Linked DNA regions of Caenorhabditis elegans. The protein of the gene in region 2 purifies or fractionates together with the protein of the main gene of each other region. This does not show direct contact. Each region holds a gene or a part of one and is shown on either strand. Other genes may lie near its edges.

Evidence for each region.
Region 1: the proteins of cya-1 (region 2) and W04C9.6 fractionate together in Caenorhabditis elegans (co-fractionation; one large-scale study listed by BioGRID). This does not show direct contact.
Region 3: the proteins of cya-1 (region 2) and Y71G12B.13 fractionate together in Caenorhabditis elegans (co-fractionation; one large-scale study listed by BioGRID). This does not show direct contact.
Region 4: the proteins of cya-1 (region 2) and pygl-1 fractionate together in Caenorhabditis elegans (co-fractionation; one large-scale study listed by BioGRID). This does not show direct contact.

Annotation. Positions count from the first base shown.
Region 1 is NC_003279.8:483,521-490,277, reverse strand, and holds W04C9.6 (MFS domain-containing protein), read left to right. Parts: upstream 1-1,885; 5' UTR 1,886-2,287; coding exon 2,288-2,320; intron 2,321-2,375; coding exon 2,376-2,484; intron 2,485-2,550; coding exon 2,551-2,691; intron 2,692-3,428; coding exon 3,429-3,811; intron 3,812-4,658; coding exon 4,659-4,897; intron 4,898-5,001; coding exon 5,002-5,125; intron 5,126-5,275; coding exon 5,276-5,371; intron 5,372-5,419; coding exon 5,420-5,490; intron 5,491-5,968; coding exon 5,969-6,152; 3' UTR 6,153-6,239; downstream 6,240-6,757. Other genes in the region: haf-4 (ABC-type antigen peptide transporter), read right to left, coding at 76-227; W04C9.2 (MICOS complex subunit MIC13), read right to left, coding at 507-578, 1,334-1,396, 1,445-1,510, 1,555-1,662; W04C9.9 (Zinc finger protein), read left to right, coding at 6,398-6,408.
Region 2 is NC_003281.10:9,106,172-9,110,951, reverse strand, and holds cya-1 (G2/mitotic-specific cyclin-A1), read left to right. Parts: upstream 1-1,679; 5' UTR 1,680-1,749; coding exon 1,750-1,773; intron 1,774-2,039; coding exon 2,040-2,354; intron 2,355-2,403; coding exon 2,404-2,523; intron 2,524-2,568; coding exon 2,569-3,005; intron 3,006-3,055; coding exon 3,056-3,238; intron 3,239-3,319; coding exon 3,320-3,698; 3' UTR 3,699-4,253; downstream 4,254-4,780. Other genes in the region: dos-1 (Delta and osm-11 homolog protein 1), read right to left, coding at 4,268-4,299, 4,345-4,415. UniProt on the Caenorhabditis elegans protein: Involved in the control of the cell cycle after S phase. May bind to and activate cdk-1 and/or cdk-2 to promote cell cycle progression. Necessary for embryogenesis.
Region 3 is NC_003279.8:1,700,476-1,708,133, reverse strand, and holds the start of Y71G12B.13 (RING-type domain-containing protein), read right to left. Parts: upstream 6,030-7,658; 5' UTR 6,012-6,029; coding exon 5,985-6,011; intron 5,563-5,984; coding exon 5,446-5,562; intron 4,173-5,445; coding exon 3,648-4,172; intron 2,474-3,647; coding exon 2,379-2,473; intron 2,337-2,378; coding exon 2,129-2,336; intron 799-2,128; coding exon 244-798; 3' UTR 1-243. Other genes in the region: lsm-6 (U6 snRNA-associated Sm-like protein LSm6), read right to left, coding at 6,436-6,556, 6,650-6,762; ubc-3 (UBC core domain-containing protein), read right to left, coding at 7,347-7,456.
Region 4 is NC_003283.11:3,577,190-3,585,152, reverse strand, and holds pygl-1 (Alpha-1,4 glucan phosphorylase), read right to left. Parts: upstream 6,012-7,963; 5' UTR 5,986-6,011; coding exon 5,932-5,985; intron 3,767-5,931; exon of another isoform or gene 3,756-3,766; coding exon 3,075-3,755; intron 3,023-3,074; exon of another isoform or gene 2,951-3,022; intron 2,834-2,950; exon of another isoform or gene 2,762-2,833; intron 2,700-2,761; coding exon 2,478-2,699; intron 2,422-2,477; coding exon 1,865-2,421; intron 1,559-1,864; coding exon 601-1,558; intron 541-600; coding exon 364-540; 3' UTR 111-363; downstream 1-110.

The DNA.
Region 1 (6,757 bases), on a different chromosome or scaffold from region 2:
CCAGCGAAAATGACACTCGGCTTCAATTTTCATTTTTCGTGGCCTAAAATTAACTCGGCCACCAATCAATCGAACCTCGTAAAAAACGAAAAATCGCCAAATTGCGAAGTAAAATTCGCGAATTTGAAAGTTCCATCATGCAGGCAGGCGAACAGTAGGCACGCCAAAAAATCGATCGACGCCAGAATGAGTCCCCATGAGAAACGGGAAGCCACCGTCGAATTCATGGCAAAAAAAAGCAGGGAGAAGAAGTTGCGATGAATTGAGTTGGGCAGGCAGTGTGAGCTTATCAGTGAATTGATAATCAGTGGAGAAAATTGATCAACGATGGGAACTGATAAAATAATATAATGCACCGTCCGTTTAAAGTCAAAAATTGCAAATTTTTTCATAGAGCACACACACAAATACTTCTAGAAAATGAGGAGGGAAAAAGTACATTCTAACGAAGGAATACACGAGGATTCGGGGGGAAAATCGATAAATCGATAATTTTTATGGGGAATTTATTTATTATTGATGAGTCGATTGGCCACTGTGTTCACGCTTGATGGGACGTTCTCGATTGTGGTGAATACCTGAAAAAAATTGAGTTTGAAATTGTTGGAAATGCGCTCCACTGCACTAGCTTGGGTCTCGCAGCGAAATCGCGTAAATTTGAAATTCCGGTGAAAAAAAACGGCAATTTCAGGTATTTTCTATGCTTTTTGAGTGGGAACTTGGAGAAAAGTGCGATAGAGCGCGTTTGCATTATTTTCGGATAATGTTTGAATTTCCTACAATATTTCTGGTCTCGCAGCGAAATCGTCGGAATTTTGCTAATGTCTGTAATTTTCTACGCGAAATTTTGAAAAAAAAGTGCCATGGAGTGTGCTTGCATTTTTTTTAAAAACAATTTCAGAATTTTCTCTGAATTTTGGACTAAAAATTGCGTTTTGCATTATCTTTCCTACAAAACCAGAAGTTTAAGACTTTTCGAGTCAGAAATTGGAAAAAAGTGCGATGGAGCGTACTTGCATTTGGTTAATTTTTGACGTGGAATTTTTTTTGAATTTCGCTTTTTGTGAAAAAAAGTGTTTTGCATTATTTTCAGCAATTTTCTCCAAAATTTGTGTCTTTTTGTCATATTTTTCCTAGTTTTAGGCACTTTTTTCGACGTTTAGCTCTGAAATTTGACTAAAAATGACTGAAAATTTATATTTTTCAATTTTTCAGATAGATTTTTGAAATTATGGAATTTCTTGAACGTTCGGCGCCAAATCTCCATTTTCCAGGACTTTTTTCCAACTTTCGCAGCAATTTTTCCGTGTTTCCTCTCAAAAATGCAGCCTACCGAGTCAACAGCACTGTTCCACTTTCCACCGGCCTTCAGCTGCACATCTTCGACTGTTGGGAGCTGAAAATAAGAAAAAAATTGCATTTTCAGAGAAAAAATCGATAAAACCTGCTCTGGAAAGACGACGGTGCCGGGAAGAATGTACTTTTTAAGCTTTTGATACAGTTCGCTGCCCTGAAAATGAAAATTTTCGTGGAAAAACGGGGGAAAACTAATACTTTAACATTGTTAGTCGACCAAATATCGTTATCGATTGACAGTTTGACGGCGCCGGCGACGAGTCCAACTTTAATTCCGAGTTTTGCAGTTTTCCACAAGAATCCCATGTTGCCGACCTGAAAATTCGAATATTTTGTGTGAAAAATCAGTTATTTTGCAACAAGACGTGAAAAATAAATAAAAAATCACAAATTCAAGAAGAAAAGTTCAGAAAAACTGAAAAAAAATCGGAAAAATAAAATGAACGTCGCGCGCACGAGAAATGCGCAAGCAAATCGAGACTCGCGTCAGAGCACGAGAAACGCGCCAGCCTCGTCTGCGTTTCTCTTCTCACAATGCTCTCTCTCACTGAAATAAGCTTATAAGCTTAAAAGTCTGCAAATCTTTAATTTGGCGAGGGATAATCGAAAATTTAAGCTCACAGATGCCTAGAAAATTAAATTTTAAGTAGATTATATTAAAATTTCATAAAAATAATGATAATTAACGGTATTTATTAAAGTTTTAGATTTCATCAAATTTTCAGACTATACTATAGTCTTGCAATTTTCAAAGAATTTTTCCTGCAAAAAACAAGTACAAAGCATTGATCAAATTAACACTATCAAGTTGACAGTGTCAACGTTTAATCCCCCAGCAGTATTTCCCTTAAATTGATCACTGCACTTTTCGTTATCACCACGAGCATCATAAATTTTTTTACTTATTTAAAATTCCGGTTTCTGATGCACCATGGTCAACTCGCCGGTTCCTGTCCGATTTCTGGTACTTTTTGAACTCAAAACCCCCGGAAAATTGAATTTTCACGATTTTTTTGCAGATTTTAATATGTGCCACACTGTGTTTGACCTCGATTCTTTCAAATATGAATACTTATAATTTTACAAAAATTTGTATGCAAGATGATAATAGTACTTCAACTTCAAAAGGTTTTTTTTTTAATTCGGTGGCCGAGTTTTTCCATTGGCGGCCGCCAAAATAGTTGATTTTTTCAGTGAACTATACCAAATCAGAGTCGAATTTTCTTCAATCGTGTGTGGCTATTGGAAGTCTTGCCGCCTCGATTCCATTTTCCATTTCTTTTCAACATTTGCCGCATAAACCTGTCTTCATTGTCGCCGGAATTATTTCGGGAGGTATGACGTCAATCGTGGCCGCGAAAAAAAAAAATATCGGTGGCCGAGTTTTCTGTAGTTTTTATTTGTTTCGAGAAAACTGACTAATTTCTATAGACTAATTTTATAAAAACTGTGCATTTTGTCGTCAGATCCAGTGCATGCGTATTTTCAAAGCTACAGTACCCCAAAAAGCATGCATCGAAAGCATACAAAATTTTTGAAATTGATCGTCAAATATGGTGTATTGCACAGTGGGCGTTGAATTTGACGCGCAAAACAATAATCTGATTTTTCGAAACAAAAACATGGTGCATGAAGCACAAAAAATTGTGAAAAATTCCGCGTAAGCACGTGGTGTCAGGCTGTCCCATCACGGTTTGATCTACAAAAAATGCGGGAATTATTTGCCCGAAAATATGTGACGTCAGCACGTTCTTAACCATACGAAATCAGTTGAGAACTCTGCGTCTCTTCTCCCGCATTTTTTGTAGATCTACGTAGATCAAGCCTAAATGAGACACTCTGATACCACGTGCGTAAAATACTGAATTAAGTATTTAAGAATCATATTTTACGCGCAAAATAAAACAGATTTCACGAATTTTTCTGAAATTAAAAAAAAATTATCGATTTTTCAAAAATTATTGACATTTATTGTCCGAGAGGAGTACACCAAGCATCATTAGAGCGCGTTTCCATTTTTTAAATTTTAAAATTGCGCGTCAAATATGATGTATTGCACTCAATTTTTCCAGTTTCAACAGCCCTTATCCCGTTGGCAAGTACCATTGGCTACGGATGGTTTGTGGCCGCCCGTATTTGTCAAGGAATGGCATTTTCAGCCACATTTCCCCTCGCTGGCTCAATTACAGCAAATTGGGCGACCCCATACGAGCACGGAGTATTCATTGGCCTATTAACCGGAAATACACAACTTTCAAATATATTTACAATGCCAGTTTCGGGATGGTTATGCTCTTCGTCTGGTGGATGGACGTCGGTTTACTATGTGCACGCCGGTGTATCGTTGGTCACTTTTTCGCTGTTTTTCCTATTTTTCAAGTGCTCGCCGAGTGAGCACAGTTGGGTTGGCGAGAAGGAATTGGAGAGGATTCGAGAAGGGAAATCGGGAAAGAAAGTGAGTGCAAACGCGCTCTACCGGACACAAATTATAACTAGATTTTGGAGCGGAAAAAAACCTGAAATTGTACCACGTATCATTTTTGAGAAAAACGCGCCCGAAGGACTACGGAAAGCCCAAGCCTAAGCGCACGTGGTGCCTGGCTGTGCTATTACGGTTTGATCTACCAAAAATGCGGGAATTTTTGCCCCAAAAAATGTGACGTCAGCACACTCTTAACCATGCGAAATCAGTAGAAAACTCTGCGGCTCTTCCCCCGCATTTTTTGTAGATCTACGTAGATCAAGCCGAAATGAGGCACTCTGACACCACGTGTAAGCCTAAGCCTAAGCCTAGGCCTACGCCTAAGCCTATGCCTTAGCCTATGCCTAAACCTAGGACTGAATTAGTGGGTTCCTCGGGGTACGCAATTTGTCGACAATTAAGACGTTCCCTCATTAGTATGAGAAAATCCCAAATTTTTCTAAAACTGCTAGCAAGGTAAATGGGTTTCATGTACGCAAATTTGCTTCAACTTCAAGATTTTTTACATGAGAGTAACCGAGTTTTCAAAACCTCGGCCACCACATCGCATTGCATGGCCTAACTTTTCACGGGCTTCGAATTTCCCCCATGTTTTCAAATGGAAGAGGTGGCCGTGAAAAAAGCGAACCTCGACCGGGGGTCGCGACCTGCGACAAACAGGAAAACTCAAAAAAAGTAGCGACAGTACGAAATTTCTTTGAGTTTTCCCGTTTGTCGCGAGTCGCGACCCCCGGTCGAGGTTAGCTTTATTCACGGCCACCTCTTCCATTTGAAAACATGGGGGGGGAAATTCGAAGCCCGTTACTTTTTCGTTTTGCAGGTATCCCGGCCAAAAAATCTTCCATTCCGTCATATTCTGACAAGTTTAAGCCTGTGGGCTTGTTGGATCGCATCGTTTGGAGATTTGATAACAGTTCAATTGGTATCCCAATTCAATCCGCAATATATGAAAAATTATTTGAACTATGACGTACTTTCGTCCGGTTTTTTGGCCGCCTTACCCATTATTTTTCAATTTTTTACGAAATTATCGTCGGGAATTATTAGTGATTATATTAAGTGAGTTTTTCGGGGGTTTTTCCTGGAAAAATAATTTTATAATTGTGAAAAAAATCAGTGGCCGAGTTTTTCCTCTCTACGGCCACCAAAAATCAATATTCCAGATTCATCTCAGAAACTCTGAAAACTAAAATTTTCAACACAATCGCTCTGGCCGTGGCCGCCGTTTTTTTCATCGTTCTAGCATTTATTCCACAGGAAAAACACTTGCTGGCTATTATTATAATGGTGAGTGGGTGGTGGTGGTGGCCTAGATAGGAAAACTCTTCCAGTGGGACAAGTGCGCTCAATTGATAATCCACGTTGAAAATAACCGATTATCAACATAGCGCACATACATCCATGGCCTAGTTTTCCTATTCTCTTCCATCATTCCAGATTTGCGCCGAAAGTGTGATGGGGTGCAATACGGCGGGATTCAACAAGTGTGCCACGTTGCACTCCCAGCAGTACGCCTATTTCGCAATGCAGCAGGTAAGGGGGTGGCCGAGAAAATTTTTAGGCCAACGATTTCTCTTCCAGATCATGAACATCTGGGCTTGCACGATATTCATCGAACCGTTTTTCGTCAATATGATTGTTACTGATGATACGTGAGTTTTTAGGGTATTCATGTAGGCACGCAGGCATGAGGAATGCAGGCAGGCATAGGTAAACTTAAAGGCAGGCATGTAGGTATATACGGTCTAGAAAAAAAAACACGGTAAGCGTAGGTCACTTTGGAGGCAGGCAGGAAGGCATAGGCATAGATAACCTATGTGAGCTGGACCGGCGTAGATTCCCTAAAAGACTATCGAAAAGGCAGATAGCATTAAAAGCAGGTAGATAGGCACAGGGTACATTGGGGTAGACGTAGATAGCATGTAGGCTGACCTAGGCCACCTTGAAAGCAGGCAGTTGACCTACATAGTTTGTAAGGTAGGCATAGGCCTAGAAGGCACTGACAAAAATGCAGGCAAACCAGCATAGGTCTCACTTGAAGGTAGTCAAGTAGGTAGGCAAAGGTCCCCTGCAAGGCAGACGTAGGCAGGCAGGCGTAGGTCCCCTAAAAGACAAGATTATTTTTTTCAGATTCACAGACTGGCGTAATTGTTTCCTGGCGCATGCGGGCTTACTTCTCTTCGTAAATACTATATTCTGCCTGTTTGCCGACGCCTCGCCAGCAAAATGGACCAGATTACAAGATGATGACGTGGCAATTGAGGAGGAAAAAGAAGAATATTCTGGAAGTATTGAAGATATTATTAAGTTGTAAAAGTTGTACACTACTGTATAAATTGTAAAAGTGTTCCGAAGATTTTCGGCGCCCCAATAAAATTGAATGGCTTCTAGCTGAAGCTTACCTCCTCCCTATGAAATTTATGAAAAAAAATTTGCGGACATTTTTCTATTATTATTATTACGTAAATGCCCCAATTTCTACCACAAATTCTTATAGTTTTGCAGTTTTTTGTAAAAAATTCGGAATTTTGTATTGGTGGGAGCAAGTGTCAGAGCTCCATGTGCTATTCGTGAGTTTTTTTAAAATCTTGTCTAGAAAATACTGTAATTAACATAGAAATAGGGCATTTGAAACATGGCCTAGGAAAAACTATTGGTGGCCGAGTTTTTTTCCGTAGCTGTGAAAAGTGAAAAACGAAAAACCTCGGCCACCATTCAACTTTTTGGAGCATTTTTACAATTTGGAAAATTTAAATTTTGGTGGAATTTTCTAGGCCACGCAGTAGAATTCTAGGCCACTTGACGAATTCTGGATTAAAAATTGATTATAATTTTGATTTTGCAAAAATTGAGAAAAAAAAACCAGAAAAATAATTTTTAATTTTAAAATTTACTATCAATTGAGTTGTTTTTTTTAAT
Region 2 (4,780 bases):
AAGTTTCACTTTTCTTTTTTTTTTTCCGGATAAAACTTATTTTTTGACAACTTTTAGCCCCTCAAAAAGCTCTGATAAAAGGCTTAGACGTCAGGTCCCAAAATTGAAAAAAAAAGTTCCAAAATTTTTATTAATTTTTTTGTTTCTTTCTTTGTGAAGTTTTTTTTTGTAAATTCGATGAAAATCGAACGTTCCTTATGAAGGCACCCTTAAAGAATACAAGCTGGAGTAAAACCAGTGAGAAAAGCGGGGGTGTGCAAGTGCGCTCCGCTGGCCGGAGTGATTCCAGGTGTGCGATTCCGTTAGCGTCCAGAGGCTTAGAATCTAAAGCAATTGTGCCACATTCTCCAAATTTATAGTAATTTTTATCATCGTCTTGCTCGACCCGCTCCACACTGATAACAATCTCTTCATTTTATTTTTTCCTTCTTCTTCCCGCCGGCGCGTAAATGTTTACAAATGGTGCAAACTCTCTGGGAAACTATCGATGGCGCCTAGAATACCACTAATTAGTCAAGTGGCGCGCAACCTTGGCAAAATCGTCAATGCCAATTTCTACAGGGTAAGCGTGACGAAGCAAGGCGATTTCGATGTCTAATCTCAGGTTAATATCTCAACCGTTATTTTCTCCAACTTTCCACCCTTTTTGATGTTGTGAACGTCGAGATTCCTGACTCTATGACATTCTTTTGAAGTTCCGTATTTTTGGAATATTTTTAAAAAATTAAGCTCGCGAATTCACAAAACTTTCTCAAGGTTATAGAACATTAAAACCCTAGTGAGAGACATATTACTGCTAGATGAGTTTCAATGTTTACCTTGTTTGCAGGTCCCACGCGGATTCTAAAGTCTAATGTGTGCCGATGTGTCATAAAAAACAATAAGAGCAGAGCACCAACAAGCCATGTTTGGCTCCATACGTTTCTTCCATTTTTCTATCGATCAGTTCAGTAGGACCGCTTAAGAGCCTATATACATCTCGTCATATTACCAAAGGCCGGGTTGCGTAATGGATTGCGTTGAACGTTTCCCCCCCCATCGAGGGAGGTCACCATTGCTTTCCACACACCAACACCACACTTTACCTACTAGTTCATATAACTTTTGATATTGATCCAACAAACATTGAAGCAAATTTTGCATTATTTCTCTCTGTCATTCACATTGCTCGGAGCCAGTAATAAGAGAGAGCAACAGGTGGTCTTTCTCCAAAATGAAGATCGCCGAACAGATATTACATATTGCCTGCTCGATCTAATCCTTATATGTATGCCGTTACACGTTATTCAAGACAATTTACCAATCTAAATGTTGTCCCATCTGGAACAAAGAGCATGCCATCTGAAGCATTAGATGGGAAACTGCTAGCAACAGTGACCCCTCCTCTCTCTATCTCTCTTCACCGTCTGTCCTGCCTTGAATGGTCCCTTGCATAACCGTACGCATTGAGCACCTTTCCGCAACATATCGATTAGTCTCTCTTTCTCTAATTGGTTTTCTTTCTCCAGTCATACCATTTTTCATTATTTGAAACTTAATTTCAGTTAAGGAATTAAAAAAAAAATCATTAGATTTATTCTATTTTGTTATTTACCTTTTCCCTTGCCTCATTCTTCGCTGTCACGTGTTTATTCCTTCGCCTGTTTCCTTGATTTTGAAATTAAATCTCTTTTTTACAGATTCCGACACAGCGCACGCGCCTAGGGACCAATTATCAAGCGCTTTTGAGAGCAGCAGATCGCGACGAGTATGCGGTCGGCACTTAGTTTGAAGGTAAGTATTTTCTGAAATTGTAAAAAATATATTTACAATGCGACTGTCAAATTAGTTACATTTATTTATTCGCGATCTTTTTTCAAATTTTCCGCATTTTTCGAGCTCAACTTTACCGAGCTGGTGGAAACAATTTTTTCCGATTTCTGATAAAAATTGGTAAGTGGTGAGTGCGTGAGACGCTGGTTTTTTAACAGTCAAAATGAATTCGATTCCTTTAAAATTATGTTTTTTATATATAATTAATAATTAAACCTATATTTCAGCCGAGCAACGGAAACGCGGCGAAAAGTCAAGCAGTGAACAACAAGAACGTGATCAAAAATGCACCATTGGGAGGAAAATTGACACGTCAAATTGGAACCAGTAATTTGCTTCAACAAGCTCTACCAAGCAAGAAAATAGATGAATCACCAATTATCAAAATAGATGCAAAAGACAGTTTTAAAGTATTTGAGGATCAGGAGCCAGAGAAAGAGAATTCTTCTGAAAATGTTGATGCAACGGAGAAAGATTCTAACGTAATACCTGCTGAGGATAACAATATGATACACGAATTGGAACGAAAGATGGAAGAAAAGGTTAGATTTGAACTCAAAATTGTAATTGTTTATATACAATTTTTTGCAGAGTCGTGCAGAAAAACTGAAGTTCAAGTTCATGCAGACTCGAGACAATAGTGATATCACCTCAAGATTCTCAGAACCACCTTCAGAATTCTCTGTTTTATGTGATGACGACGATTGTGATGTGAGACCAAGAAAATAATATCAGAAAATTGAACTTTTCTTTCAGAAAGTCTCCGTCGCCTCTTCAACCTTCACCACAAGCGTCCGTGCAACCTTCTCATCATTCCATTTTGATGAAAATCAGCGCAAAAAGGAATTTGGAAAAGAAGAAGCTGTGAAGAAGATTCAAAAGAAAGCAGCGAAGGAAGCTCGTGATGATTCAATGTTCAGTTCTGAAGAATTTTTCCCTGACATTATCAAGTACATGTTACACCGTCAAACGAAGAATCGAGCTTCACACGAATGCTTTGACATACAATCACAAGTTAATGAAGAGATGCGAACAATTCTCATCGATTGGTTCAGCGATGTCGTGAAAGAGTACAATTTCCAAAAGGAAACATTTCATCTCGCTGTGAGCCTCGTTGATCGGGCTCTTTCAATGTTCAACATTGATAAAATGCGATTTCAATTGGTTGGAACGACGTCGATGATGATCGCAGTGTATGTTTTTAAATAAAATATTTCAATTGAATGTGAATCTCAAATTTCAGGAAATACGAGGAAATCTTTCCGCCAGAGATTGAAGACTTTGCTCTCATCACTGACAACACCTACCGAGTTCCCGACATTCTTTTAATGGAGCGATTCTTGCTCGGAAAGTTTGACTTCGTTGTTGCAATGCCCACATCATCTTGGTTCGGAACATGTTTTGCCAAGAGAATGAACTTTACAAAGTGAGTTTTAATATCATCATTTTTAGCTCCTGTGAAAAAAATTAGCGATCTTTCTCAATTTTAAACGTTATTTTATTACAGAAAGATGCGGAATACTGTTCATTATCTCCTCGAGTTGTCGCTGATAGATGTCCATTTTCTACGTTACCGCCCATCCGATATTGCAGCTGCGGCTTGCTGCTTTGCAAATCTCCAGGCTGACGTTGAATCCTGGCCACAAAAAATGGTTGACGACACGGGAATCAGTACGGAAGATTTTGTGGACGTGCTGAGGGATCTTCACAGGATGTACCTGAATGCATCAACGGCAGATTTCAAGTCAATATTCTACAATTACTCGGAGACTGCACAAATGGAAGTGGCCCTGTTACCGGCACCTACTGACAAGCTTCGATCGATGTTCCCATCGATCTTTGTCACCGCTCCAAAATCTTCCAACGATAGTAGTAGTCCCCAGTAAATAATCCATGTTATATTCTTGAATTCTCCAAATTTCCCGACTTTCAATTTCATTCCCTGTCTTTGTTTGCCTTTATCGATTACATCTTCTAAAATTCTCCTTTTAAAACTACGATTTTATGTAACAATTCTTTGTATTTGTATAACTCATCCCGACAGGAATCGGAACATACACGGATATGATCCGATATTAAAAATTCCTTTTTTGTGTTATATGTAATAGTATTATCAGTGCTCTCCATCCACCCCCTTATCTGGCTGTTTTACAGCTTTTTCTCCAGTTTTCTTATTTATTTATGATACTCCTGGCTTGGCAACTATGATCTATGATTCCTTTTTGTTCCGAGCCGTAATTTACGCACTGCGCTCATTGTTTTATATTTGTTCCACGATCTCATCTCGTAGTTGCTCTCCCCATCGTTCTTTCGTTTCTCTTTTTCAAAATGTAAATCTAAAAATTTTTATAATCATGATATCAACTGAAATTTTATATTATTTATTGTGCTTTCCAAATGTTAGAAGATACCTTCTTTGTCAAATAAATCTTTTAAATAAAAAAAAACAAATAGTTTAACCGTGATAGTTCCCGTAGTTGGCGTATTCTGGAATTGGAAAATCATTCAATGAATCTGAAAATTGAAACTTACGAGAAACAAAAGCGTCTGCCATTTCTGGATCAAGCTCCTCGATATATGTAGAACAAGACATGTACCAGATTCTGAAAAAAACACTTAATCGAATTAATTAAATTTTTGATAAGTATACGGTAGCTTGTCTCGACTCGACAATTTAAAAAGTAAATTGCAAAAAATAGCGTGCGCCTTTAATAAATACAGTAATTCCCAAGTTATTGCTGCATCCCAATTTTTAGGATTTCATTTACACTAAAATTTTAAATGCAAAGTGTTAAATGAAAAATAGAGACTACTGTATTTTTTAAAGGCACAGCACATTACCCAAACGCGAAATTTTGTGATACACGACAACTTTTGTTAAATGCAAAAAGGAGCGCGTCTTTAAAGGGTACTGTAATCGCAAAACTGTGTATTTGCGAATTTTCCATCGAATTTTCAGAGTATTCTC
Region 3 (7,658 bases), on a different chromosome or scaffold from region 2:
ACATTGCCGGAATTGAAAAATTCCCGCAAACAGAAAAATTGCCGATTTGCCGGAATGGAAAATTTCCGGCAAATCGGTAATTTGCCGGAATTGAAAATTTCCGGCAAATCGGTTTTTTTTTTAAATTTTTCAGGGAATTTATTTTTTTCAGGGGAAAATTTTGCTAAAAATCCGCTATTTTGCCAATTTCCATCTAAAAATTCCAATTTTCAAGTAAAAAAGCGGGGGAAAAAACGAGAAGAATTAAAAATCAAAATTATCATTAACAAATTCCGAGTTCTCCTGAACATTAAAACCCGTAAAAACATCATCATCATCATTCTCAGGCTCCGCTTCATCACCCGAATGCTCTTGGGGCTCAAAATCGAGGTGTTGCTCCATAATCGGAGCTTCTTCCAATCCGAGAAGCATCGCCTCCAGTGGATCAGCCGGATCCAGTGGTGCCGCCTGATGATTCTGAGCATCAATTCTCTCGTAGAGATCGTCAAATTCAAAGCCCCAATGAGCATCTGGCTCCTGGTGCTCCTGGTACTCCGGCTCTTCGTCATAATTTCCCACATGGAATTGCACAGGCTCCGGCTCCTGCTGGAATTGAGAAGCTGGAGCTGGAGCCGGAGATGGTGTACTCGTCAAGGATCTTGCCGTTTCCTCGTCACGTCGAAGCTTCTTGTTCAGAATTCTCGCAGAAACCGATTGATGAATCGTCTGCTTACGGGTTTCCGCTTTCAGTTTCTCCGAGATTTTACGATCCTCTTCGATTTTTCGACGCTTCGCCAGGCTTGCCAGGCTGAAGTTGCGCTGAAAAATGAGGAAATTAGCGTCTTTTTTTTATTTATTTTATTAATCAAAAAAATATTATTTACGCGCAGCAAAATTTGGACCGAAATGAAAATAAAAAAGAAAAATTCAAGTTGTTCTGTGTAAAAAATCGGAAAAAATCAAATTTTTGTGGAAAAAAAAATTGGAAAATTCGACTTTTTTTGACTAAAAGATCGGAAAAATTCAAATATTTTGTAGGAAAATTGGCAATTTTGTAAAAAAAATCGAAAACTGCGTAATTTTAGGAAAAATCGGCATTTTTTGTATTTTTCAGCGAATTTCGAGAAAAATGTCTGAAAACAGAAACCCATAAATTTCGGAAATTAAATTTAAAATTTGATTTTTTTGAAATTGCTTTAAAGCATGCTTATGATACCACAATAACCGAATATATCATAATAAAAAAATTCAAAAAAAATTTTTTTTTCTAAATTTTATATGATTTTTGAAAATTGAAAAAATCTCAGTTTTCCCCCTAATTCCTATTTGAATTTCCGCCAATTGAACTCGTTCGTTGGAGCGCGCTTGCATTGTTTTCATTAATTTTTTAAAATTTATTTTCATTATTTCACTGATTTTCTTCATTTTTTGGGTGTTTTTAATCGGAAAATGAAAGAAACATACAGGAAAAATGCAAAATGTTTATTAAAAAGTAACTGAAAATGCCTAAAACTGTGAATAATACTTATTTCAGGCTCGTCATCGTCGGATCGTATAATTTCAGAGTTTTAGGCATTTTCAGTTACTTTTTAATAAACATTTTGCATTTTTCCCGTATGTTTCTTTCATTTTCCGATTAAAAACGCCCAAAAAATGAAGAAAATCAGTGAAATAATGAAAATAAATTTTTAAAAAATTAATGAAAATAATGCAAGCACACTCCATCGAACAAATTCAATTAGCGGAAATTCGAATCGGAATTAGGGGGAAAACTGTGATTTTTTCAATTTTCAAATATCATAAAAAATTTAGAAAATTTTTTTGCATTTGTTTTACCATGCTATTCGGTCATTATGACCCCATAGGCGCGTTTTAAAGCAATTTTTTCGAGAAAAAAAATTATTTTTTCATGTAGATTCTGCGAATTTTTGAATTTTGGCTAATTTGTGTAAAGTTTTGCAAAATCGTCGCAGGAAAATCAAATTTTTGGGTTTTTATCGAATTTTTTTGTTTTTTTATGCCAAATTTTTTAAAATTTTGCAAAATCTTCGCAGGATAATCAAATTTCTAGGTTTTTCTTCGTTTTTTCGGCCAAATTTTTCAAAAATTTCCATGATTTTCGTCATTTTTCCTCTTCTTCAATCCGTACCATAACATTGCCAACTTTCTCTCCGACAGCTTTCTTAATTTGTTGCAAATCAATTCCAACACTTTTCAGCAACTCATCCGCATTTCCACTTCTCGCCACCATTTTCTCTTCTACAGTGAAATTAATCATTCGACGTCGGGCAGTTTTCCAATCTTCACGAGTTATTGATTGTAGACAATTTTCAATGTCTTCTATCCGATAGGGAAGTCTAAAATTATCGATTTTTTGCCATTTGTTGAGCATTTCCAACCGTAAAGCCGCTCTTGAACGCTTATAGGTCATCGGAGTACGCTGGAAGTAGTGAGCATCGAAAAACTCCTGCATACGACGGAATAATTCGGATTCCTGAAAAAAAAAATCGATTTTTGGGAGATGTTAATGAAAATTTTTGCGTTTTTTTCGCAGTATTGAGCAAAAATTCGAAGGATTTCACCCAGAAAACCCAGAAAATCGCGATTTTTTTTTCTTCCAATTTTTTGATTATCGAAATTTCCGTTTAAAAATTCGAGAAAATTCGAATTATCGATTAAAAATCCAGGAAAAGTGTAATTTTCACTAAAAATTCGGGAAAATTCAAATTTCCAGTAAAAAAATCGGGAAAATTCAAATTTTCGCTCAAAAATACGGGAAACTTTGAAGAAATTCAAATTTTCATTCCAAAATTCGGCAAAACTGAAATTTTCACTAAAAAATTCGGGAAATTTCAAATTTTTGCTAAAAAAACTCGGAAAAACTCAAATTTTCACTAAAAAATTCGGGAAAATTCAAATTTTCTTTAAAAAGTTCGGGAAAAGTCAAATTTTTGCTAAAAAATCGGGAAAACGCAGATTTCCGTTGAAAACTTCGAGAAAATTCGAATTTTCAACTAAAAATCCAGGAAAATTCAAATTTTCACTAAAAAATTCGGGAAAATTCAGTCTTTTGGTAAACATTTCGAGAAAATTCAAATTTCCGTTGAAAACTTCGAGAAAATTCAAATTTCCGCTTAAAAATTCGAAAAAAACTCAACTTTTCGCTTAAAAACTCGGGTAAATTCAAATTTTCGTTAAAAAGTTCGGGAAAATTCAGATTTCCGTTGAAAACTTCGAGAAAATTCAAATTATCGATGAAAAATCCAGGAAAATTCAAGTTTTCACTAAAAAATTCGGGAAAATTCAAATTATCGATTAAAAATTTCGGAAAATTTAAATTTTCGCTTAAAAATCGGAAAAATTCAATTTTTCGCTTAAAAATTCGGGAAAATTCAGATTTCCTTTTAAAAATTCGAGAAAAATCAAATTTAGATTTAAAAATTCGGGAAAATTCAAATTTTCGTTAAAAAGTTCGGGAAAATTCAAATTTCCGTTTAAAACTTTGGGAAAGTTTAAATTTCAACTAAAAAGTCGGGAAAATTCAAATTTTCGCTAAAAAATTCGGAAATAATCAAATTTCCGTTTAAAAATCCAGGAAAATTCAAATTTCCGCTTAAAAATTCGGGAAAACTCAAATTTTTTTCAGCTCAAAAGTTCCAAATTTTCACCTCCATATTTATAATAGTATTCGACGCTTTCGAGTCGGCCGCAACTTTTTCTATCAACGAAGCCCACGATTTTCCAGAATCATTAAGCCGTCGCTTAATAGTCCTACACGGCCTGACGGCCTCTTCTTCTTCAATTTCCACATCATCAATACTCTGATTTTCAAGCTCAGCTTCTGCCGAGCAAGACGTTGAAGGGGTATTTGTATTATTAACAGTTTCGGAATGAAGACTTTCAGCTTTTAGCCTATTCTGACCACTGGATTTCTCAGAAATCGTAGTCGTCGTCGTCGTCGTCCCGTCCAACGAGTTTCTGGCGGCTCGATTTTCAGAATTTTCAGAATTTCCAGCCACTGATGAGCAACGGGAGACCGGTCGAGAGTTGGCGAACGTCAGGGGATACAGATATTGATATTTCTCGGGAAGCTTCTCAATGCGTGGCAGGGGAATGCATTTTTGACGCTTTTGGAAGGCAGTTTGGACGACATGATAGACGTGTGGAGGCATATCCATTGGGAATTGACATTTCTGCAAATAAAAAATAAATAAAAAATGATTAAAATCGGCAGTTTTAGTTTTTAAAAAAGTCGTAATTATGCACGCTCTCCTCAAAGCCGAATAATTATTAGAGCGCGCTTGCTGCGCTTCGCATTTCTGAATCCGCGGTATTTTGACTTTCCACTGAAAAAGCAGATATTTCAGATTTATCGAATTTTCTAGCTTTAAAAAAAATTTTTCTCCAGTTTTCGAACAAACCTTTTGTTAAACAGTGAAAATCGAATTTAAAATGACTAAAATGAACTTTTTTCGTCCACTGGCTGTGAAATGGTTTGAATTTGAAAAAATTAACGGGATTTTTCTTATTTTCTAAATATTTTTCTATTAAAATCGGTTTTAAAACATTTGTGACTTTTAGGGTCAAAAAAATGGGTTAAAACCGATTTTTAATAGAAAAATATTTAGAAAATAAGAAAAATCCCATTGATTTCTTCAAATTCAAACCATTTCACAACCAGTGGACGAAAAATTTCATTTTAGTCATTTTTCGATTTTCACTGTTTAACAAAAGGTTTGTTCGAAAGATGCATTTAAAAAATTTTAAAAGCTAAAAATTCGATAAATCTGAAATATCTGCTTTTTTCAGTGGAAAGTCAAATTACCGCGGATGCAGAAATGCGAAGCGCAGCAAGCGCGCTCTAATAATTCTCCGGCTTTGAGGAGAGCGTGATTATGAAATATTACTGAAAATTAATGTTTTTTAAAATCAATTTCCGGTGAACTTCCGATGATTTCGACGATTTTTCCGCCTCAAAATTACTCGATTTTCACAAAATTAACTAAAAATTGTCCGTTTTGTTGAATTTCAAGTTCAAAATTTGAAAATTCTGAGGAGACATTGCTTTAAAACATACCTATGGTACCACAATGACCAAATATCATAGTAAAATTTTTTTTAATGTTCTAAATTAAAAAAAAAATTTACTATGATATTTGGTCATTGTGGTACCATAGGCATGTTTTAAAGCAATTTCCCCACAGAATTTTCAAGTTTTGAACTTGAAATTCAATAAAACCGGAATTTTTTAGTTAATTTTGTGAAAATCCAGTGATTGAGGGGAGAAATCGTCGAAAACATCGGAAATTCACCGAAAATTGATATAAAAAACAATAATTTTCAGTTAAATTGCTATGAAAAGCTGATTTTCTCCGTTCATACGAGCCAAAACAACCTGAAATTCGATTTTTAGCTCGATTTTTGCCTGGTTTCCCAATATAAATTCAGTTTTTCATGAATTTCTACCTGAACAGCCTCACATATCCACCAAATATTATCGGATCCATTGGGTTCGGTGCTGATGAGCTCTGGCTTGAGCTGTTTCGTCTTACATCGCGGACACTTGAGCCATTCGCTTTTCATCTGAAATTAAATGAGTTTTTTGATGGAAAATTCGAAATTTTAAGGCTAGAAACGAGCACAAAATGAGCACACAAACGCTCAAACTTTGAAACTAACTGTTTTTTTTTCAATTTTCGGAAAATCGATGGGGGGACAGAAGACTGATGGATTTCGTGCGACGTCTCTCTCTCTCTTGCTCTTCTTTATCTTCTTTTGGTCTTTTCACTATGAAATTAGGTATAGTTTTTGAATGGTATCATTTGAAATGTGCGATCACATATCGGGCGGCAGAAAACCGCCTAATTCTCCTTTTCCAGTGCGGGTGGAAAGATCATCGCAAGGCGGTTTAGCCTTAGTGTGATCGCATATCATTACAAATTATCACTTACCACTCGGAGAGCAAAAGTTAATCAGTTTTTAAATCAAAAAAAAAATCAACTTACTAAGGCGGGAAGTGGTCCGGGTGGCATTATCCTTTTGAAAATTGTCTGAAAATTGCGATTGTTGCAGTGAAAGTGGCACAAAAATACGTAGAATTCGAAATTTGAGTTGAAAAATCGAAAAAATCACCGGAAAAGCTCGAAAAATCGATGAAAACGCGATAAATTGACTTAAAAATGTCTTCTTTTTTTCGAAAATGCTTCCCCGTAAATCGAATCGTGGTGAGACCCACCGCACGTGACGCATGACCGCGACGCGTCTAACGGTGAGGAAACCCAAGAAATTTCTCGATTTTTGCTGAAAAAGCCTGTTTTCGAGCGAAATAACTCAGATTTTCGGCGAAAAAAAAAACACAAATTTATTCGAGATCCAAACGTATCAAACAAGAAATTTGCTCAAAATAGCTCAAAAAAGGGAAAAATATTTGGAAAATAAATCGAAATCAAAAAAAAGTTATTTCGTCGATGTGGAGATGTAGAGCACATTGTTCCCGCGGATGAACGCATCGCCGTACTTGTTCTGAAGTTGTCCGTTGCTGTATTCTTCGGTTTGTTCGAGCGCGATGTTCATATATCTGAAAAATTAGATTTTTTCGTAATTTTTCTGGAAGAAAAATTAATTTTCAGGTGTTTTTAATCAGATTTTTTGATTTTTCCCAATCACTAACCCGTCGAGACATGCGAGAATGCCACGGTAGTCGACGCCAGAGTTGAGCTTCACCACAACCGGCTTTCCGATGACTTTCTTCAGGAATTCGGCGGGATTCTGTCGTTTGCTCATTTTCTAGAGTGCTGAAATTGAGAAAAAATATTACTTTCACGGGTTTTTAGAGTAAAAATATGTTAAAATCAAGAGAAAAATGCGTTAAAATTGCGATTTTGCTTCAAAAAAAATTATTTTCTACAGTGTCCGCAAACACCGTGACGCAAAAATGCAGACTTGCGAAAAAAATGTTTTTTTCGGATTAAATCGACTTATTTTTTGAGAATTCAACTCTAAATCTGCAATTTTCCGAGACAATTTAGAAAAAAGAAGGCTTCATTTATAGAAAACAAAAATAGTTGAAAGTGCACTGTGATCAGCCTGTGTGTGTGTGTAATTGGACAAAAAAAACTGTTTCCAGACGAAAAAATATTGAGTATAACACAAATATGAATTGATAGCTGCTTGGGAAGGGCAAAAGTGTACATATAAATGCATTGAGAAAAGGACTAGTTGAGTCGGATTTTGAAGATTTTTTGTTTGAAAGAAGCGCCAAGATTTCGTGGTATATTTGATATGAATTTGAATTTTTCTAGGTTGGAAAATTGAGAAAATTGAGAAAAAAAATGGGGAAAAAATTATAGAAAATTAAAAAAAATTGACTAATTTTCTCCTTGTCCCGAATCCTCGTCATCATCATTATAGTCCGAGCCGCATTCGTCCTCGTCCTCCTCCTCTTCATCGTCGTCATAGTCACACCCGAAATCGTCGTCTGAAAAAAATCGATATTTAATTGAAAATTTGGCAAAAATCCGGGTTTTTAACTGAAAAATCCAATTTTCTCGGGAATTTTACAACTAAATTTGCGAAAAATAGACTTTTTTTTGAGGTTTTTGAGGTCACGGGGTTCTGACCTTCCTCATTGAATTTTTCGCGCTCCATTGACAATCGCCCGCCGGAAAACGTGTGGGAAA
Region 4 (7,963 bases), on a different chromosome or scaffold from region 2:
GAGCTGGTCGTAGAGGTATCGAAACTTCTTTGAAGATCCTTCAGACAGCCATAATTTTTAATTAAATTTCAGCATTTGCAGATTCGAGTCAAAATTAAAAAAAAAAAGTTGATATTTTCAGTCAATTTATCATAAATATGCAGGGCAGACGTGCAAATAGACAATCTCAAAGTATGGCAACACATTCGGGGGAAGTACGATTATTGGACTGGGGGCAGAGAGGACAAAATCAATTTGATCTTGAAGATTCACAAGAATTATCGGGGGAGGGAAAGGCTTCTATAAAAATGCTATAAACTAAATGGGACGGAGAGGAGGGGAAGTTATGGCGATAATTAATTACAATGTTAGTGCATAGAAGAATTATTCGCTCTTCTCATTCTCATATGGTGCTGGAAGAGAGCTCTCGAACTGGTCGATTCCCCAGATTTCACGAGCGTATTCGGTGATTGTGCGATCTGTTGAGAACTTTCCGGTCGAGGCGATGTTGTAGAGGGCCATGCGAGACCACTTCTCTTGGTCGCGGAATGTAGCGGAGACCTGAAAATAATTTATTTTGATCAGTAAAAATTTGAATTAGTTGAATTTTTTGAGTTTTACCTTATCCTGGGCTTCAATGAAAGCGTCGAAATCGGCGCACACCATGAAACGATCATGATAGCGGAGCATGTTGGAGAGATCCTTGAGCTGATCTGGATCTTCTGGAGTGAACATGCCACCTTCGATTTGCTCGATGATCTGCTTGAGCATTGGGCTCTTGTCGATGAACTCCTGCGAAGAGTATCCGCGCTTTGTGAGCGCCTCAACCTCCTCGACGTTCATTCCGAAGATGAAGATGTTCTCGTCGCCCATCTCCTCGGCCATCTCAACGTTGGCTCCGTCGAGAGTTCCGATTGTGAGAGCTCCGTTCAACATGAACTTCATGTTTCCGGTTCCTGAAGCCTCGGTTCCGGCGGTCGAGATCTGTTCAGAGAGATCAGAAGCTGGAATGATCTTTTCAGCCATCGAGACACGGTAGTTCTCGAGGAAGATGACCTTCAAACGATCACCAACGATGGCATCATTGTTGACTTGTTCGGCGACGGCGGTGATCAAACGAATGATCTGCTTAGCCATATGGTATCCTGGAGCAGCTTTTCCTCCGTACAACACGGTACGCTTAACCATATCGATGTTCGGGTTCTCCTTGATACGATTGTAGAGAGCAATGACGTGGAGAATATTGAGAAGCTGTCTCTTGTACTCGTGGATTCTCTTCACATGCACATCGAACAACGAAGCGGCGTTCACGTTGACATTGTACTCGTCGCTCAAATACTGGGCGACTTGTTGCTTGTTCTCGAGCTTCACACGACGAATCGAATCGAGGAACCCGGCATCGTTGGCGTACTCCTTGAGCTTCTGAAGCTCGTCGAGATTGGTGATCCACGACTCGCCGATCTTCTCGACGATGAGGTCGGCGAGAGATGGGTTGGAGAGAAGAAGCCAGCGGCGTGGTGTGATTCCGTTCGTCTTGTTTTGGAAGCGATCCGGGTAGAACTCATAGAAGTCACGGAAGCTGGAAATGGATGATATTAATTTTTTAAAATGGTAATTTTGCAATTTGCGCGTAAGAAAAATTGGGCGGGCCGGGATTGCAATTTGCGGCGCGCGATTTAGCAACACCGCCGCACGATGTTTTTTCTCTTTCTGTCCGAATTTTCAATGACAAATTATCAATTTTTCGTGATTTTATCGAGTTCACATATCGAAATCTTTCAAAACATCATGCGAAAAACAGCCAAAATAAATTCGTGCGGCGGAGCTGCAAAATGATGCGTCGCCCATTGGTTCTAGCGCCAGGTTTCAGAGCATTTTCGCTTACGTGGAGCTCTTGAGAAGATCCGAGTGAAGAGCCGCGACTCCATTAATGGCATGAGAAGCCACAATGCACAAATGAGCCATATTGATGCGCTTCTCGCCGAACTGATCGGCCTCCTCGACAATCGACATACGACGCATACGGTCGAAATCTCCTGGGAATCTCTGCGAGATGGTGTTCATGAACTTCTGATTGATCTCGTAGATGATCTCCAAATGACGCGGCAACAAATTCTGCATAAGCGACACTGGCCAGCGCTCGAGGGCCTCTGGGAGCAAGGTGTGATTGGTGTAGGCGTAGGTCTTGATGCAAATGTCCCAGGCCTGATCCCAGGTGAGTCCCTCGACGTCGATGAGGAGACGGATCAACTCGGGAATTCCGATCGATGGATGAGTGTCGTTGAGCTGGATGGCCACCTTATCCGGGAAGGTCTCGAAGTTGACACGGACGGCCTCGCGGTTTCCGTAGATGGAGGACTTGAAGCGGCGGATGATGTCCTGGAGGGTGGCGGCGACGAGGAAGTATTGCTGCTTGAGACGGAGCTCCTTTCCGAGGAACATCTGAAAATGTGGGGAAATTGATTTTTTTTTTCTGCCAAAATCTAGCTCAAACATACGTTGTCATTCGGGTAGAGGACACGAGTGATGTTCTCGGACAAGTTACGATCCATCACAGCCTGCACGTAGTCTCCGTCGTTGAAGAACTTGAGGTGGAAATGATTTTCGGCTTTGGCGGACCACAAACGAAGCGTGTTGACGATGTTGTTCTTGTATCCGGGGACTGGTGTGTCGTATGGCATGGCAAACACAACTTGAGTGTCGATCCATTTCGATTTTCCCTGAAATAATATATTTTTTAATGAAAAATAAAAAAAGTAAGCGAAAAAAAGAAAAAAGGAATGGGCCGAACCGGGGATTGAACCCGGGACCTCTCGCACCCAAAGCGAGAATCATACCACTAGACCATTCGGCCACGATTAGATACGTGAAAGCTGGTGATGAAGAGATATCGAATCTTATTATTTCTCGCAATCAGCCAATTATCGATTATTGTGCATCTTGATTGCTTCCAAACACGATTTCCAAACATGGCCGAATGGTCTAGTGGTATGATTCTCGCTTTGGGTGCGAGAGGTCCCGGGTTCAATCCCCAGTTCGGCCCATTCCTTTTTTATTTTTTTAAATTTAATTTTCTCCAAAAAATCAAAACTCACATCCTCCTTCACAACTTTTCCATAAAAGTTGACCGGAAGCATGTACTCTGGACGAGCCTTCTCCCATGGATTTCCGAAGCGAAGCCAATCGTCTGGCTCCTCAATCTGCCATCCGTCACGAATAAGTTGCTTGAAGATTCCGTACTCGTAGCGAAGCCCGTATCCGTAAGCCGGAATACCCAGCGTGGCCATCGAGTCGAGGAAACACGCGGCGAGACGTCCGAGTCCTCCGTTTCCGAGCCCGGCGTCCTCTTCGATCTCCTGAAGCTCCTCAATGTCTAGACCGAGCTGGTAGAGCGCCTCGTCGACGGTCGCCTGAATTCCGAGGTTCATCATTGTGTTCGACAGCGTTCGCCCCATGTAGAACTCCAACGACAGATAGTAGACCCGCTTCGGATCCTTGTCATAGTAGTGTTGTTGAGTTCGTATCCAGCGAGACACGAGATGATCGCGGACAGTGTTGGCGAGCGCGAAGTAGTAGTCGCGATCGGTGGCCACGTTACGATCCTTGATGATCGAGAAGTGAAGGTGGCGATTGAACGCCTTCTTGATGTTCGACACGTTCTCCACTTGAGCGATTCCGCGCACGGAGATCTGCTTGCGACGATCGTGATCGTTGGTGATCATGCTGAACAGCTTCGGACTCGACGATGAGGCAGTCGATTCGGCAACCACGGGCTGCTGAAAATTGGAAATTGGTTTTTTTGGGAGAAAAAATGAGCGGAAAGTGGTGAAAATTATAACTTGTTCGGCTACTGTGATAAGAATGGTGGACAAACAAAAATTTCGAACACTGCAGGCAATGGCGAGTCAGGCCAGAAAACAAAATGTGTTGCGAGATAGTAGTCGACGCAGTACAAAGTCAACAGGAGGGGGGCAGTTCAGTGATCAGTCAACAATCAATATTGATAGCAGGGGCCGGCCCCGTGATTTCCAAGATGAAAGATTTTTGAAAAAAGTATGAAAGCCACGTGGATTTGCTATATTTTTCAAAAAAATCGCAAATTTCCGCAAAAACCTTTAGTTTTGCGAACTTTTCCGTGTCGCAGTTCGCAGAAACTAGCTTTTATTTGATTAACATCATTTATTGGGCATTTATCCAACGTTTTTTCATTGATCTAGGTGCATTTAAGCCGATAAGGGACCAAAAATGCCTCAATCAACGAAATAAGTGATGAAAATATGCAATAAAAGATGATAATCAAATAAAAGTTAGTCTCTGAGCACTGCGACACGGAAAAGCTGGCAAAACTGGGGATCTTAGCTAAAATTAGTAATTTTCTGCGAAGTTTTGATCCTATACAAGCAAGCATTCCTCCTTGAACCAAAAAAAAAATCGAAGAAAAAATATTTTCGCTGATCATTGAGGAGTGAAATGCATCGCTTCAAACTGATCAGGCTAAAACGTCGAATAATATCAGTGTTGACCGTGTCGGCGGTCAGTCAACATGCAGAAAACTACCGATAAACTGATAACGCGTAAGTGATAATAAAACAACAATCAGTAGACGACGACAGGATATTTCGGTGTATTTTTATCACCCGGTCGGCCCAAGAAAATCGAAAAAAAAATTAATGAAAGTGAGGGGCACTTTCTTCTGGGCTACGGAAGACTTTGTTCTTTGCTCACAGCCTTTTTTGTTTAGCCTGAAGCTTGAACTTTAAAGCTTTTCTACTTATGATTTTGTCAAAGAAAAGCATTTAATTGTCGCAAAACCGAATCTTCAAAGATTGTGCTGTCAACTCGAATTAATTAATTAAAATCTTGCGGAAATCTGTTCGAATATGGAAAAGACTATCGGTAGACATGGCCGCTTTGTGTTTGATAAACAATTCTTGTCACTGCCGATTTATCAATTCTTTTTCAACTGAGACGAGTGTGTGCACGTGAATGATCGATGCCATTGGAAATTGAGAAAATTTGAAAAAAAGTTCCGAAAACTTTCGGGGAGCTGCCACGCTTATGTGGAATCGAAAAAAGAGCATAGAGGCCCGAGCCATCTAAAAAAAATGGATGGGGAGAGGATGCGAAGGGGTTTGTGAGCGTGTGTGTAAAATGTGAGGAGAGGAAAACAACTCTGGGAGAAGCAGAGATGTAGAGAAAAATACATGTTGTGTGTGACCCCGACGGACACTGATAGGGAAACAGAGAGAGAGAGAAGCAGGCGGAGATTCAAATTTTTTGTCGAGAAGATGACGAGATTGAAGATTGAAAAATTGAAAAACCAAGAAATCAAGAGATTTTTTATTTTTTTTTTGGCGAGGAAAAATCTGTTTCTAGAAGCTTTAATATTAATTTCCCGACTTTCTTATCATCACCGCCTCCTGTTATGATATCAATGAGAAGACGGGCGGTGCAGCAGAACAACAAAACGGGTATTTTTCCGTTTTTTGAACACTGTATATGTACAGTGAGGACCAATCACCGCACAAACAACGCGACGAGCTGGAGGGGGCAAGGTGAACGATTCTTGAGGCGTATAGGTTCGATAGATTCCAATTTTCACCGTCGCTTATGAAATGAAATGACCAGTGAAACGAGAGCTGGGAGCCGAAGTCCTATAGAAGAGGAAGAGGATGGGCTGAAGAAAAGTGGCGGGAAAAGTAGACTGACATGTGTGTGTGTGTGTGTGTGTGCCGGCGAGAAGCGAAAAGGAGAAGCCTGAAGTGAAGCGTACGTGTTTTTCGGCAAGATTCAGCCGGCCGTTTCCCCATTTTGCACGCACACACTCACTTAAATCCCTGCCTGCTCGCTGTTTTTTTTCTTATGATTTTCTGGCTTATGAAGAGATGAAGCAGATGAAGCAGATGATGAAGAAGAAGCTTGATAGCATGAAATAATCAGCGAATTACTTACCGGGCGCACGTTGTTCCAGTTGAAGAATCCAAAACGAGCAGCAATATCCGACATTTTCGGTGTCACCGGCGGCTACGAAGGTGAACAGTGAAGAATGACTGATAAAAATTTGGAGAAGACAATCAAAAAATTGACGAAAACAAGTGGTTTATTGCACCGAAAATGCAGAAATTGGCGCCATGATTGAAAATTGGAAAACAAAATTTTCGCGCCAACAACACCGAGGGTACGGTAGGCGAGTACGCAAACACCGATGCGCACCGTACTCGCCGTAGCGGATTTGAATTTAAATTTAATTAAAAATAAATAAATAATTTAGTTTTTCTTGCTTGAAAAACAGTTTTTCCTAAAAATTGCAGATTATTTTAAAGAAAATTCATTTAAGATCAAATTTAGAACAAATTATATTGAAAACTTGCTTCAAAGCATAGAAAATTGGCCGTAACAACATAATATAACTGTTGAAAAAAAACTTTTTATCTCAATTTTTTAATGATTTTTTAAAAAGAATTTTGCAAGTATATAAGAAAAGTGGATGAATTAATTTCGAATTCCTGCGCAAATAAATGAAACGTTTTGACTTTTTCCCATTTTCTGTCAAAATTAATTGTTTTTGTTTTGATTTTTCGATTTAAAACACTTAAAACACCGTTCATCTAATTTTCAGATATTTTTTGCGTGAAGGAAAATTGATACCACTAGAAAAAAAATACCACTAGAAAAAAAAATTTGGCGTAAAAATCGATGATTTTACTTTTTTTCCGGAAAAAAAGTCTGAAAATTTGAAAGAAAAAGGTGATTCAAGCCAGAAATCGCTAAATTATCGTCAGAAATTCAAAAATAATTACCTTTTTTCGAAAAAATTGAAAAAAAAAATTATTTCAAATTATTTCATGAAACAACCTCTAGTTCAATAATAAAATATTATTAAAATGTTTAATACAATTAAAAAAATTCAATTTTACTGCTAAAAATTTATTTTTTTAAATAAATTTATATTTTAGATATTTCTGGAACACTACATCCTGAGAATGCGTATTGCGCAGCACAATTGACGCGCAAAATATTTCGTAGCGAAAACTACAGTAATCCTTCGAATGACTACTGTAGCGCTTGTGTCGATTTACGGGCTCGATTTTCGAAATGATTTTATTTTCGAACAGTGACAGTGATGACACAATCAAACCCGTAAATCGACACAAGCATTACAGTAGTCATTTAAAGAGTTACTGTAGTTTTCGCTACGAGATATTTTGCGCGTCAAATGTGTTGCGCAATACGCATTCTCAGGATTTAGTGTGTCCGTAATAAAATCTGAAGAAAAACTGCTAAAAAATGTCTTTTTTAATTAACAACATGTTGTTTAGTATTTTCTGGTATACTTAGTTATGCTGAACAGTTTTATGAAATAAAAAAGAATGACTCCATACCATTTTACCGTACTTTTGAATTTTTGAATATAACAGCTTTTGGTTAAGTTTTGAAATTTTTTAAAATAAACTTCCGTACAAGCTAGAGTATGTTGTTTGGTATTTTCTGGTATATTTGATTATGCTGAACAGTTTTATGAAATAAAAAATAATCGCTTCGGTAATTTAGACGCACATTTCTTAATTGAATTCGCATGGTTTAGAGTGTGATGAGGTAATTTTTCTGTGGAAAAATTTCCCTTATTTTTTGTAGATCAAGTCGCTATGGAACATCTTGACACCATGTTTGGAAATCGACGAAAATAGTTGAAATTTTTTGAAACTACGGTTTTACCGCCGATACCTAACGAGACCCAACTTGTAGGAGCGGAGCTTTGACGTTAGAGCGCGATTGCATTTTCGTGTGCAGCGCGGCCTATCCTCAATTTTTTTGCCTTTTTTAGAAAAAAAAAAGCGAACATTTCGCTGTTTCTTTTCGTCGCTCACAGTACACAAACACGGATGCTAGGCCAACTTGAACAGAATCAGGCACCCCCAGCAGGCTCAATAGCCCAACTGTGAACCAAGCCAGAGCCGGAAAAAAATAAATAGGGGGTCACAAG